Daphnia pulex: one gene and its partner. The protein of the gene in region 2 interacts with the protein of the main gene of each other region in a pairwise test. Links are inferred from orthologs where the notes say so. Each region holds a gene or a part of one and is shown on either strand. Other genes may lie near its edges.

The links.
Region 1: the proteins of calreticulin-like (region 2) and ubiquitin-conjugating enzyme E2-17 kDa interact in a two-hybrid assay, tested with the Caenorhabditis elegans proteins (2 studies listed by BioGRID). The link is inferred for Daphnia pulex from reciprocal best matches to the Caenorhabditis elegans genes crt-1 and ubc-1.

The regions. Positions count from the first base shown.
Region 1 is NC_060018.1:6,450,789-6,457,520, reverse strand, and holds ubiquitin-conjugating enzyme E2-17 kDa, read left to right. Parts: upstream 1-3,481; 5' UTR 3,482-3,717; coding exon 3,718-3,761; intron 3,762-3,851; coding exon 3,852-3,932; intron 3,933-4,043; coding exon 4,044-4,248; intron 4,249-4,346; coding exon 4,347-4,472; 3' UTR 4,473-4,777; downstream 4,778-6,732. Other genes in the region: probable citrate synthase 2, mitochondrial, read left to right, coding at 722-769, 988-1,137, 1,199-1,396, 1,450-1,638, 1,706-1,905, 1,976-2,079, 2,146-2,678. UniProt on the Caenorhabditis elegans protein: Catalyzes the covalent attachment of ubiquitin to other proteins.
Region 2 is NC_060026.1:14,045,763-14,053,483, forward strand, and holds calreticulin-like, read right to left. Parts: upstream 4,071-7,721; 5' UTR 3,935-4,070; coding exon 3,853-3,934; intron 3,245-3,852; coding exon 3,140-3,244; intron 3,072-3,139; coding exon 2,868-3,071; intron 2,807-2,867; coding exon 2,655-2,806; intron 2,587-2,654; coding exon 2,278-2,586; intron 2,209-2,277; coding exon 2,044-2,208; intron 1,979-2,043; coding exon 1,760-1,978; 3' UTR 1,663-1,759; downstream 1-1,662. Other genes in the region: synapse-associated protein of 47 kDa-like, read right to left, coding at 5,972-6,114, 6,218-6,346, 6,406-6,557, 6,620-6,759, 6,826-6,960, 7,033-7,166, 7,232-7,456, 7,528-7,677. UniProt on the Caenorhabditis elegans protein: Molecular calcium-binding chaperone promoting folding, oligomeric assembly and quality control in the endoplasmic reticulum (ER) via the calreticulin/calnexin cycle.

The DNA of each region.
Region 1 (6,732 bases), on a different chromosome or scaffold from region 2:
TCCAATAAACAACAACCACTAGCAGAGTTTCATAACTATATAACTGCTCTGCAGATATTTAAAATTGTTAATGAAAAATTACAACGAACACTACGTTGTCAGACGGTTAATTTATATCATATTACTTGTGAAATATAAATGAATGAGAACTTCAAAGAAAGGTGGAAAAAATCGCAACGAAAAATATCATAAAAGGATTTTTTCTGGCTTACCACTCTTTTTATCTCTGGATCACAAATTTAAAACGGATTTTTCGACCATTTGGCAACGGACAATTACAAGAACATCGTCTGTTTCTACTTCAAAAGGCCCGATGGCGATCTTTGCTTTCATTTCTAGGGATCTGTTAGCGCCTCTACTGTGCTCAGGTTAAATAATAAAACCTTCCGAAATATAAATCAAGAGAATATAATAAATTTGGATTCCATAAACCTTACACATTCAAGAGAAATAGGAAATATCTATAAAAAGGAGTAAGCAACAAAACGGTAGCCGAATTTTGCCAAATATTTGCAATGTACAAGAGATGGCGCTCTATAAATCTCAGAGCATTAAAAAGCAACTGGAGGCATTTACACTAGATTATCTAAGTTACAGACACACGATTCACGAAGATCTGGTGACCTCGTAAAAGCTCCATATTTGCGGATCACGGTTTCGGTCACTTTACCCAGCTTTATTAACTTTCGTCATTGCTAGTTAAACTGCATCTCTTGTTGACATGGCTCTGTTTCGCACATTATCTTTGCGGTTAAGCTCCCCTCCTCAGGTAAAATATAATTGGTATAAGTGAAAAAATCCTCGACGTCTTACTTCTGTTCGAAACAAATTTCCGCCTTTCTAGGATCCATTTCTTTAAATATTGCAAAAATTCTTTCCATGTCTTTTTTTAATTAGCACTTTTGTTTCAAATGGTGCCTCTAATATATATAGTTGTATAAATATTGGTATTCTCATTATGTAACACATTTTATAATTATCCTGCAGGGCTCTATTTCTACCATTGTAAGAGCATTCTCTGATCATACTGATCTGAAGGATGTTCTTAACAATAAAATCCCTTATGAACAGGAACGTGTCAAGAAGTTCCGTAAAGAACATGGCAATGTAAAAATTGGTGAAATTACAGTGGATATGGTGGGTTACACATATGAACAAATCACATGATGAATCATAAATAACCCACAAAAAAAACTAGGCATATGGAGGTATGCGCAGCATGAAAGGTTTGGTCACAGAAACATCTGTCCTAGATCCTGAAGAGGGAATCCGCTTCAGGGGATTATCTATTCCAGAATGCCAACGTATGCTACCTAAAGCTAAAGGCGGGGAAGAACCTCTACCTGAAGGTTTATTCTGGCTTTTGATTACTGGAGATGTTCCAAATGAAGCCCAAGTAATATCTGATGGATATATCACTTGTATGTTTTACCTAACTATTTTTCTTAGGTGAAAAGCTTGTCTAAAGAATGGGCAAGCCGTGCTGATCTTCCATCTCATGTTGTGACCATGCTCAATAATTTCCCAGCCAACCTTCATCCAATGTCACAGTTCAGTGCAGCAATCACTGCCCTGAACAGTGAATCCAAATTTGCCAAAGCTTACTCTGAGGGACTTCACAAATCTAAATATTGGGAGGTAGGTGACCATTAATATTACATGTTTTTAAACACACGATATCAATCGATTGATGTGACCGTTATAGTACGTCTACGAAGATTCTATGGATTTGATTGCCAAACTTCCTACTGTCGCTGCCACAATCTATCGTAATTTATATCGCGATGGATCTTCGATTGGAGCGATCGATACCAAAAAAGATTGGTCAGCTAATTTCGCATCCATGTTAGGATACACCGACCCTCAGTTTACCGAACTGTTGCGACTTTATCTAACTATTCACAGGTAATGCCGTCTTGGCATTATAATTAAGTCAAGTTTAATTGGCGTTACTATTTTTTAAATGTTTTTGTAGTGATCACGAAGGAGGAAACGTTTCGGCACATACAGTCCATCTGATAGGATCTGCTTTATCAGATCCATACTTGTCATTTGCTGGCGGTATGAATGGATTAGCAGGTATTCTAATTTAGCACGGTTTATATGTAGTGAGGTCCAAATTAAAATGTTGTTGTTGTTTACCAGGACCTCTTCACGGACTGGCCAATCAAGAAGTTTTGGTGTTCTTAAACAAAATTACAGCTGCTTTGGGAGATGGGTGGACTAAAGAGGGTTTGGTCCAGCTCATTAAACAGCAGCTTGCTTCTGGACAAGTAGTACCTGGGTATGGCCATGCTGTGTTGCGCAAAACTGACCCGCGTTACACTTGTCAGCGTGAATTTGCTCTCAAGCATTTGCCCGACGACAAGATGTTCAAGCTTGTTGCCCAGCTATACGAAATTGTCCCAGATATCCTTCTGCAAACAGGAAAGGTCAAGAATCCTTGGCCAAACGTTGACGCCCATTCTGGTGTTTTGCTGCAGCATTACGGCATGTCTGAAATGAGCTATTACACCGTACTATTCGGTGTATCTCGAGCACTCGGTGTGCTGGCATCTTTGGTTTGGGATCGTGCGTTGGGTCTCCCACTCGAGCGACCCAAATCCATGTCAACTGATGGACTTATGAAATTAGTTAAATCCCTCCAATCCCAAGCCAATGCGGCAAAAGGAGCGTAATAATTTTGACGAACTGATAGTAATATACAACCTTACTACATGTTAAAGAATCAAACTTTTACTTTGTTTTCGTGTTGACTGTAAGTCGAATCCGTGTTAGATTATTCCTGAGTGTGCGACACCATCTCCTGGAATTTTTTCAATGCAAACCTAAATAGAATTTCTTAATAACGGCGACTTAACTGGAACAAGGGATTGGTACAAACACGTTTCGATGGTGTCACCTGTCATAGTAGTAATGAGAAGTTGATCGTCTGTAAAACCCTAAAGTAATAGTTGTAATACCCACAATAATAAACGTTTTCACTGGATGTAACTACACCGAAGAATTTTTGATTGATTTTGTGTTTCAAAATTTTATTTCAACTTCAGCGCTACTTTTTCGTCTTCTCCAACTGCTACAAGCCCAACACCCACCCACCCACCTCCCAAAAAGAAAAAGCTTGCATTAAGTTAATGAGAACATGTTTTCCCGGCAACTTCAAGATATTATTTGTTACCTGTATTGACATCACCGGTTTTGGGCGTTATGCACAAATATGGCTGGTTTGGAAATGCTGTATCTAAAAAGTTGTTTCTTTTCAGTTTTTTTCTTTCTTTTAATAAAGCTATTGCGCAATGACGAAATATTCTAAATTTAATTCTATTTTTTATGTTATTTTCTAAACAAAAGAAAATATTTTTTTCTCGTTTTTTTTCTGTAGCTACCTACGTTCATTCTTTTCATTGGTTCATATTGATGAAAGTGATTGAAAAATTGTAAATGGACGGTTACCACTATCAAGTTCTTAAATATTCCACTAGGGCGCTGCCGATTTCTAGTACTAGGCTACTAGCTGTATGGCTGCCCCAGTTAAGGATTTCTTCTGTTCTCAGCTCACTTCGTAACAGATTTTATGGTTTAGGTTGATCGATAGTCGATTGAATTTCTCTTCGAAGGATAAATTCTTAACGCAACAGTTTCAATAAAGTGCTCAGATAACTTATTATATCAGGTTAACTGCGTTTATTTCGGTCGAATAGGGTTAATCAACAATTAATGTCTACACCAGCCAGAAGACGATTAATGAGGGACTTCAAGAGGTTAATATACTTATTTTAAACTAAGCTCCGTTAAAAAAAGAAGTGTATTCTTTACGCTTATTTTGTTTTTATCTCATGTACATCCTCTAGATTGCAAGAAGATCCACCTGCTGGGGTAAGTGGAGCTCCAACGGACAACAATATTATGATATGGAATGCAGTTATATTTGGGTATGTTGAATGCTAAATGAATTTCTTTACTTAATTATTAACAAATAATGTTGGTTTTATTTCCTTTTTTTGCACATTGAATATTAATTATTTTTTTTTTAATATTTTCAGCCCCCATGACACTCCATTTGAAGATGGAACGTTTAAGTTGACCATTGAGTTCACTGAAGAATACCCTAATAAGCCCCCTACAGTGAGATTTGTGTCAAAAATGTTTCATCCCAATGTTTATGCTGATGGAGGAATCTGCCTCGACATCCTTCAAAATCGATGGAGTCCCACCTATGATGTCTCTGCAATTCTCACCTCTATCCAGGTAAAATATGATTCATACATCTAAATACTATGTGTATTTATGTTTTGATTGATTATTATTGTTTGATGATTGATTGAATTCTTTATCAATTTTTTTAGTCACTTCTTAGTGATCCCAATCCAAATAGCCCAGCCAACTCGATGGCAGCACAGCTATACAAGGAGAATCGACGCGAATACGAAAAACGAGTAAAGGCTTGTGTGGAACAATCTTGGATGGATTAGCTTGTTTGAAACACCAACCTTTGCTTTGCTTTTTGCCTCAACTTTCCTATATTCCGTTCTTCAAATTTCCCCAACCATCAATCAGTTAAGCCCAGGTCTTATGGACCTCACTACTAAGTGTTTTTTTTTTTCTTTCTCAATTTCCTTGTTGTATATTGCTGTTTCCCATTGGTGATTGACACCTCACCGTTATGTTTCTGCTTCAGAAAAAGCGAAACCTGAACTTTTAAAAGCAGGTTGGAATGTAGTTCAGCAAGAATCAATTTTTTATTCACGAGAAATACAAAAGACAAATTGAAATCCGATAAGAAGTTCCCAACTAGCAAAGACATCTTTAAAACTATCGTAAAAAGAATTACAATGATTGCTAAATAAATTTTCGTGCCCATCGTCCTTCACGTGATAGCTTAGTATAATTGCGAAATTCTTTACACTTGATTTACCTGTATTAAAAAAACCTTTTGCTAGAAATTTAGCTGTATCAGTTCGTTAATTTTACGTGGCCAAGTAATAATTAATCGCTAGAAATAGTGCATTAGTTATTATGTATTCATGTTCATAAAACAAATGGGCAAATTAAAGTACAAACAAGATTGTAGTATTGTAGTAATCATTTTGAAAAGGCTATAAGTTTGGATGTGCAGTTACTGCAGTAATCGATGGATTCTCCTTCGTCACTATGGAACTTTGCACAACCGATTTTCTGCATGGACAAACCGTGTAGGCCTGTATACCGTTTGACGTTTGTGTCGTTTGAATGAAATTGCATCCCTAGGAATGAACCCTTTATACAAAGAGAGGCTTGCGTTACGAAGCTTAAGTACTATTCGACAATCGGCCTACTAGCCAGTAATAGTAAACTTTCCCACGGATGGTTCAGGTGTGAAAACGAACGCTGGTGAATGCATGAGCCACATAGATAGATTAGGTATTCAGGAGATCAGTTTGCATAATTCCCTTTTTCATGATCGGTACTTGATTTCTAATTTTCGTTTCATGAAATGTAGTATAGCTATATTTTAAATCCTAGATAGAAAAGTTCGGCTAGTCAACTGCGATACTTTTAGATGGATGAACTCATAGCTTGAGAACCTCACCGCTTGGAGAAGAAGCTACGCCTGGTACTTCCCGTTCCGTCTATTGCCGACTTCCCGTGGCCAAAAACCTCTGACGATAAAATAAATAAATAAAATCAAAATACGAAAATTCCATAAATGTTGTTTAATATGAATCATGCTGTTAACAGTGATTCACAGTGATTTAAATTGTGTTTAGTACATAAAGAATGGATACAAAAATTGAAAAACATATTCTAGAGCATCCTGTTTCCTGTTATATTTACATTGGTTGCACAGTATCAAAATAACTTTGACTGAGTAAATGTCTGAAAATCATCCGTGTACACTATAAAGCTGTCCTAAATCCACTTTTAAAACACGACTGTAGAAAATATTTAGTTCTGTGTAATTCGTAAATCAAAGACATGTATTCGTCCTTTTACGGTGCTGACTGGATTTCCGTTCATTCGCAATAAATTGGTACGGAGATAAACATCAAATAAACTTGAAATAACAAAAGCCGGAGAATAAATTAAACTTCCCTCTCGCTTATTGCTTTCGTATGTGAAAGCATCCCTTCTGAGGTTGTGTGCATAGAAAACATACGAAAAGGTAAATCCAGCGTGTTTCCTAAAGAGCTATTTTTGGTTTGGGTTTATTTTCAGACTAGCGCGCTAGTAAGAAACTCGCTAGTATTCGAACTATGTGGCGCGCCTTGCAGGATCCACCGCAAAATATATTCTTTACCACCCTTTCGCCTCCTAAAAACGGCGACATATAACATACCAGAACCAATAGCAGCAACCTACATCAGCTTTTCGCTCGATCCACACACATTTTGACTACCCACTATTTAGGGTGTGTTTTTAAACCCGCCTTCGGTTCAACGAATACATTATACAGGAATAACCTAAAATGAGAAAAGTCCGTTTTTTTTTACAACGGTCAGTTTAGACCACGTATTTTTTTGCAGAAAATTAAATTCTAGAATCTTATCGCCATAGGGTTACTATATGGCCTTCATTAATATTGCAGACAATTTCACGTTTCTGTCTTATTCGATGTCACACAGTTTGGAAATAATGGCGCAGACAGCATCTGTTTTATATTGAAAGTTAATTTGAATGTAGAATATTGAGATTTCGTTTTATTTGAATTTTTCAACTCTCAAGTTGGCAGTTTTATTACGTATTTGATTACTT
Region 2 (7,721 bases):
GGTGGTCTACCATAATCTATGGATAATGAAGAAGAATGCATTATATAGGAATTGGAGGACCCACAATGCAGCCCATTGAAGTCGACATGCGGATGGAAGGCGGTTATCCGCCTCCCCCACCTCCACAAATGAGTGATCGGCATGGCGAAGGAAACTTTTGGCGGTTGGGGTCCAGGTCCTGATCCCAACAACTATCGAGGAGGTGGTGAACCTCCCGGTTCTTATGACAGAAGCGAAGAGGATGACCAGGTCATTTCGCTCCAAACTATCCTGGACAATTCCATCCACCACCACCGCATCATCAGCCTCCATCAGGCCGTTTGAATCCAGATGGCGTAGGTATTCAAAGAGGAGGATACAACAACTATTGATGGCGGAGACCTATCTAGAGAAGAATGGTAGTCATTTCAGAAGCTGAGCCATGGCTCAGTAGAAGTATCGTGGTCATTTACAACATTTCTTTGGACAACATTTCTACTAATATGTTTTTATACTGCAATTAATTCTGAAAATGAAGAAATGAACAAAGTTGGAGAAACCCTTTTTTTATTTATTCTAAGACATGACAGAATTCGTCTTTCCAGGTCATGTGGTTGATGTCGTTGTTTCACGCGAATCGTCGATTCGCTCGTCAAATTCTACTAAAATTTAATTTAAAATTCTATGCCCGTCTTATTCATTAAAAAATTTGTTTAGCTTCATTTCGATCGCCATCGTCTTCAGAAGCATCAAACGGGCTAATTAGTAATTCGTTCATCGATCCGATCCTCCTCTTCGCAAAAAAAAAAAACAAACAAACAAACAAAAAAACATCCGCGGACTATTATAGTATTCTATAGCTCTGCCCTAACCCCAAAAAATTTATTATGCACACTTCATCAAAAAAGAAAAAGTTGAACCCCAAAAGACCCGGAGGGAAACTGGCGACGCTAGGCGCGCAGCACAATTTATTGAGGTTAAACAACCGCAAGTAACGGCTGACTTTGTAATAGTTGTCAAACGACTTTTTTAAATCAATTGATCTTTAGTTTATTGTCCTTTTTGTTTCAACGAATAGCCAGCACTTCAATTGCATAACTGGCAGGCCACTCGAACCATGGGGTCAATGACTTGAGCTCCATTTCTTCGTCGATCAATTGGTTGCCAAAGATCGTCGAAAGAAATGATTAAAAATCAGCGCCCCTGTGCTTACACTCCACCATCTAGCGGTGAAAATAACAAACTCATGGTTTAAAATTATTCAAATATAAATGTTTTTTTTATCAATCATACTCACTCCCCAGATAGGGGAATCGGCAATGTATTTAAAAAAAAGTAGGAATTAAACGGGCGCCTCGAGCTCATTTTGTATAAAAAGAGGGATGATGTGACGCCATGGTTTAAATTGAAAAAAAAAAACCTTCATTCAAATAGACGAATTACAAAACAACACCGTATGAGGGGGGAGAGAAAAAAAAACAAGACTACAAAGAAACGGGAAGCAATATAACAGTCTAAATTCTTTTTCAATTTCAGTTCCAAAATTATTTTTTTGTCTTGAGCTAGAATTCCTCAGCTTTTTTGTTTTTTTAAAGATTATTGGAACCGAGATGCATCAGATTTTAATACCTCTGTTGAATTGTGACAACTTATTAACCGCCGATATAAAGATGGAACAGCTGATTAAATTATATAAATTTTTTTGTTGTATTGTTTTTTTTTTGGTGGAACCTAAGTTTTCTGTCAGCTCTTCCTTGTGTGTGTTTGTTATTTTTGCATTTTACAACTCATCGTGGTCTGCGTTGTCGGCTTCGGCTTCTTCAGCGGGTGCAGCAGGTTTGCTGGGCTCGGCATCGTCTTCATCTTCGTCATCTTCATCCTCGTTGTCTTCTTTCTTTGACTTGGCCTCTTCTTCCATCTTCTTCCGTTCTTCCTCTTCCTGAGCTTCCTTCATTTTCTTCTCGGCTTTGCTGGTGGCAGTCCACAGCTCATCACCAATCTAATGAAAAATTTAGAATTACTTTCTGTACAAACAACCATTAAAAGTCTAATTTGTATTATTACCTTTTTGGCTTCCGCAACATCGTCGGTGACGAGGACATTGTCGAAGATGGTGCCAGCCTTTACTTGCCACAAATCGAAACCAATGATGCAGGATTCGTCGTATTTACCAATGGTGGCATCGGGGGCGTACTCGGGGTTATCGATTTCTGGGTGGACCCAGACACCCTGCGATTAAGCAAAAAAGTTTTATAAAGACAAAGCCTCCCATCAACATTTTTAAATAGTTATACATACTTTGTAAGCGGGGTTGTCGATCTGCTTGGGTTTCCACTCTCCCTTGAAGGCAGGGTTGTCGATCATAGCAGGCTCCCATTCACCATCCATCTCATCATCCCAATCTTCGGGCTTCTTGGCCTCGGGGTCGGCAATGTGTTCAGGAACATCCCAGTCGGCGGGCTTGACATCTTCAGGATCATCGATCTTGGCACGGTCATCCCAATCTTCGGGTTTCTTGGCTTCGGGGTCTTTGATGGTCTTGGCAGGCAGGAAATCCCAGTCACTTTCCAAATCACCAGACTCAACTTTCTCGTTATCAATCAAAACCTGTGGAAGAAGACAAACAGTCCAATGAATAAACAGTGTGAAAGGTGAGCAATTAATAATGGACTTACTTCGTAGGTCTGATCTGGCTTAACGATGAGTGTGTACAAGTGAGTGTAAACATCATCCTTGGGTCTGATCTCTTTCTTGATGAGATGGTTCTTTCCCTTGTAGTTGAAGATGACGTGGACTTTCTTGTTGGAGGGACCGCAAATGTCAGGGCCTGTGACAGGATTTGGGGGTTATTTCAGCTACTATATCAACAAACTATTAATAAAACTTACCAAACATGATAAGGTATGGAGAGTCTCCATGCATATCATCTTGCTGCAAACTGCAGTCAAACAGCTTGACATAGCCACCTCCACAGTCAATGTTTTGTTCATGTTTGACGGTGAATTGGAGGACTAGTGGCTTATCCTTGTTGCTGAAGGGCTTGAACTTAGTGGAAAGGCCATAAAACCTGGCATCTTGGGAAGTCTGGATACCTATTAAGAGCAATTCATGTCATCAACTATCATCCAAAATAATTTATAAAATCCAGATTAATCCTTACCCAAATCTTTTTCAGCATCACCGTAGAATTTGCCGTGAGTGAGAACAAATTTGCCTGCTGTTTCACCTTTGTTGGTCGACTGGATCCACCTTTTCTCCCAGGCAGCTGAAAAGAACAAGATAAGACGTACACGTCACCAAATGCCACACATGAACTCGACAAATCGAAAAAGCCGGGTAGAGGTCGTGGCACGCTAAACGTCATCAACTTCAGTTTGAAGGTGAAGAACTTTTTCCTGTTATCTCTAGTTCACTTGGCTTTTATCATAATTTCTATTTCTCTTGTTACTAATCGGAAAATGTTAGGATCGTTTTCTAATTATTTTTAACCTTCAAATTTTTTTGTCGTCCGCAAACTCTCGTTCACGTCGTTTTAATTCCGCATGGCAGCGATGAAAACAGATGATCAACTTGATTGTAATTAAACTCTTTTTTAGTGGCATTAAAAGTGAAATTCATATTGCCACGTCCAAATAATTCGTGCATTACAACGATATCAAGCATTTGGCTTTGGCATGCAAAGTGCTTGCGTGTGAAAATGGCAGATATGTTAAAAATAGCTAGAATATTTGTTTTACGTGTTACACAGCCTCCTGTTGTAAGCTGACGAAATTTCTAGAAAAAGACTCCCCTGCTACCCTTGACAAGTAACCCTCTCCACCATCAACCAGATATCGGGAAAAAAGGGAAATACTTTATGAATCTTTTTCTTACCTCCATCTGAGAATCGCTCGTCGAGGAAGACTTCGGCCGCAACAACGCCGATCAAGGCGATTAATAATGCTAAAGCTTTCATTTGTACAAATGAATGTGATTGAAGACGATGAACGAGTGACCAGGACAGACGAGTGAGACAAACTGACGTGATGACTCTCCTTTACTCAGGAGAAGTTTTTACGGAAAGGGAATGGGAAGGTGGATAACACCCGTAATGCTCTCATTGGTCGGTTTGTCACACTAGAGCCAGAGAGATGAGCCACTTGGTGGGTGGTATCCGATCGACCTGCTACCTAGCGATAGAGGGGCTACTAGCCGGTGTTGCATATGAAGGCCCGGGAAGATTCCCCAGGCTACCGAGAGCTCATCGTTAGGTGGCGCGCAAATCATCGGGGTAGAATCTTCTAGAGAGTTGCTCATCTCATTCACGAACTCACGTTTTTCTCTGGCCGTCACGTGACTGTCGTGTACCAATCAAATTGCGCCGTCTGGCAGGCGTTCAATTTTCCACGTTTATTCCAGTTTTCGTATTATCCGGTCATCTATGAAAACGCGTTTTAATTTAATTCTCATGAACTTTATGTATTCTATTGTTAATGCGCATTTTTTTCATTCACGGCCAAATTCTTTTCTGTGGACTATTAAACAATCCTGATATTGTTATATTGAGTTTGACAAGCATTTCCTGTATGCATTTTCAGGTAATCAAAATTGGTAATCTGACATGCCCATATGGAATCTCAATATCGATGACGTGTCGTAAATAGAATATCTCTCCGATTCTCCCTTTCAATAAAAGTTGGGATACCATATATTCCCACATGTTCATACAGCCATGTGACGTATAGCTCGGGGGGTGTTGTCTTGCGATTAGATTGGACCACGTACCGAGGGATAAGACGCGCGTTACATCCCAATTGGAGGGGATTCTTACTACGTAGACAAGTGACCAAAATCGACACGTAATCAACCACAAGCAATCGTAACGCTTATACAACCGTATATTCATGAAAACATCATATCCGACGAAAGGGGGGGATAATAAAAAACGAACCGTTTAACAACCGAGAAAACACACATAGAATAATAATGTTACAATCAAAAAGAGAGAAAAAGAGAGAGAGAGAGGACAATTAATTAGAAGATTACATGTAAATTTGGGGTTTTGCAATCATGAGAATTTGGTATTAAAAGGGGGAGGGGAGGAAACACTGCAAAATGGACCAAATATTTTTTCTTTTTTTTTGTATATCGATGTTATTTTTGTGAGGTCGCGCTTCTAAGTCCGGTTTTCTTTTTCCTTATTCTTATCCTGCCATGTGTGAACACCAATTAATTTTTAATTATATACATAATAAGGTTTTGTTTGCTGCCAATTCGTCTTCGAATAGCAATTAGGGAAATTGAGGTGATTTTCACGTGCAACAACATTCAGAAGGGGAGAGGACGATAACGCACAACAACCGAGAAAAACGCAAAAACGAATGCATTCTTTCTTTAACAACTAATATAAACTTTTTCCTGCCAAATAATCAATGCACGGAATGCTCAACTTTTGATATTGCGGACCTACTACGTCGTGCCAATTTAACCCTAAGTAATCGCAGATAAACGATAATATGAGACCGATGATGTTTTCACTGTGGCTACTCAGGGAAGTGTGTGTTTGGAAAACGAGAAAAAATGGGTACAACAGTTGTGCAAACATCCTCTAACTATCGTCGGAAAGCCAGGAAAGAAAGCACACACATAAAAGGGAATGGCTGAACTTTGCAGTTGAGAAAAGAAGAAAACTAGACACAAGGAAAAAGAAATTTTTTTCTGACTAATTTTAGCTCGGGCAATTTTTGGAGGAACTGGTTCTTTTCTCCAGGCAGAGGCTACAAGAAAAACGGGGGAGAGGGGGGGGGGGTCGCCTTGAAAGGGCAGACACACATACGAACCGGATTGCATACACCGATGATTTGGTTTCCGAGTAAAAAACCGAATGATCGCGCAGGAAAATAGAGAGATAGAGTGAGAGAGAAAGATAGAAAAAAATTGACATCAACTACTGTGCAAGGAACGTCCAGGTTGATGCGGGGTTACGGGTACACGATCCTGCATGACACACGCACTACTTTAGATCCCCATGCGATTCTTCCGCGTCCAACATTTCTTCAATATCGTCGGCGTCAGCTCCACCTGTCTGTCCAGATCCTTCGCTGCCGAGTTCGTAATCCTGAAGCTCGGCCTGTAACTCCTTTTCCCATTCTTCATCTGTTTTTGTTAGTTATTAGTCATAGAGGAAGGAAAAGAAAAGGAAATTCTAGCCATGATTCCTTGATACTTAAAATTAAGGATTATTGACATTCCTAAATACCGTTCGGTTTCTTGGTGCCCAGACGTTTGATGCCCTCCTGGACTTCTTTCAGGTCTTTGGATAGCGTGTTGCTTTGATATGAATCGGAAACAAACTCGTTCATCGGAGAATCAGGCGTATCGGCGCCCTCTGCCGAAGGATCAAAGTTAAAAAGACTAATTGCATCACTTTGAAAAATAGATCTTTACCTGTTTTGTCCTCTTCGTCGAAGCTAGATTCACGAGAATGGTTGGCAGAGTCCCTGTTGCCTTCTCCTTGGGTCATCGAAGAAAGTTCCGTCGATTGCCTTAAAAGACTAACCCGGTAAAAATAGTTGCGCCAGAATAGCTCCTCTTTGATGCTGCATTAATCAAAGTAATTTGGTTAAGGATAAGAAGAGTCAAAACGAAAATATTCAATTACATTTTGGGGACCAGTTCAAAGCGCATTGTTTCCAGGTTTGGATCCTCAGCGAGTGTTGCTAGGGCGATCGGGTAGAAAGAATCATAGTCGAACTGGAAATCAACGCCTGCAGGTGGGCTTCTCACAAAATTGCGTCGATCCTGCAACGACAGGAAAGGGCCATACGGATTTGCTCTTTAAAACAAATAAAATAATCAATCCCTTACAGTTGAAAGTGACAAGATTTCAGCCTTTAGGGCCTCCTCTTCCGGGTAACCGACCCAAGGTGGGATGGATCCTTCCATTTTATTTTTGCTCTTAATGAACGCCTCTTGTTCTTTATTAAACTCACTCAGGATGGTCTGCACAATGAATTGAAAAAAAAAAGATAGAGTATTAAATTTCAATTTGCATAAATTGCTAAATTGGATTACCGTTTCTTCGACCGTTTTCTTGATTTTAGCGCCAGCTTCAGTCACTGTTTTACCAGCCTTGCTCACGGCAGAAGCAAAGAAGCTCCCGATTGTACGAGCCCCTTGCATGGCTTTATTGGAAACCTCCTCTAAGCCTTGAGAAATAAGACATCAAAGGTTAAATATTGATTTAAATGACTGAACTTGAAGTAAGTTTTACCCGAACCGAAACCTTCTTTATCTCCTTCAACTTCTCCGGTCTCTTCTTCAACTTTAGTTTCGTCTTCAACGACGACTACTGGTTCCTCTGTAAGTTGCTCCTTTGTTTCTTCTGGCTGATCAGTGGTTTCCTTCTTGGACAACCAACTGCTCATTTGATTCTTCATGCTGCTAAAGAGATCTGCTTTGGGCTGTTCTGGTTCACCTCCATTAGCCTCAGATGTAACTTAAGTGAGTTAAATAAATAATAAGAAAGGTCATTCATTATTAATTGTGATCCCATTATCTAGAAAGAACCTGGGCTGGTAGCAGCAGCTTCTGTAACAACAGGTTCATCTTCAGGATTTTGAGGGCTTGACTCCTCTGATGGGCCACCTGCTTTCTTTGCTCCAATCCACGAAGAGATTGAGCTCATTTGATTTGTAAATCCAGAGAACATGATTAAACCTGGAAGTGCAGAAACATCAGAATTTTACATGATGGATTTTTCA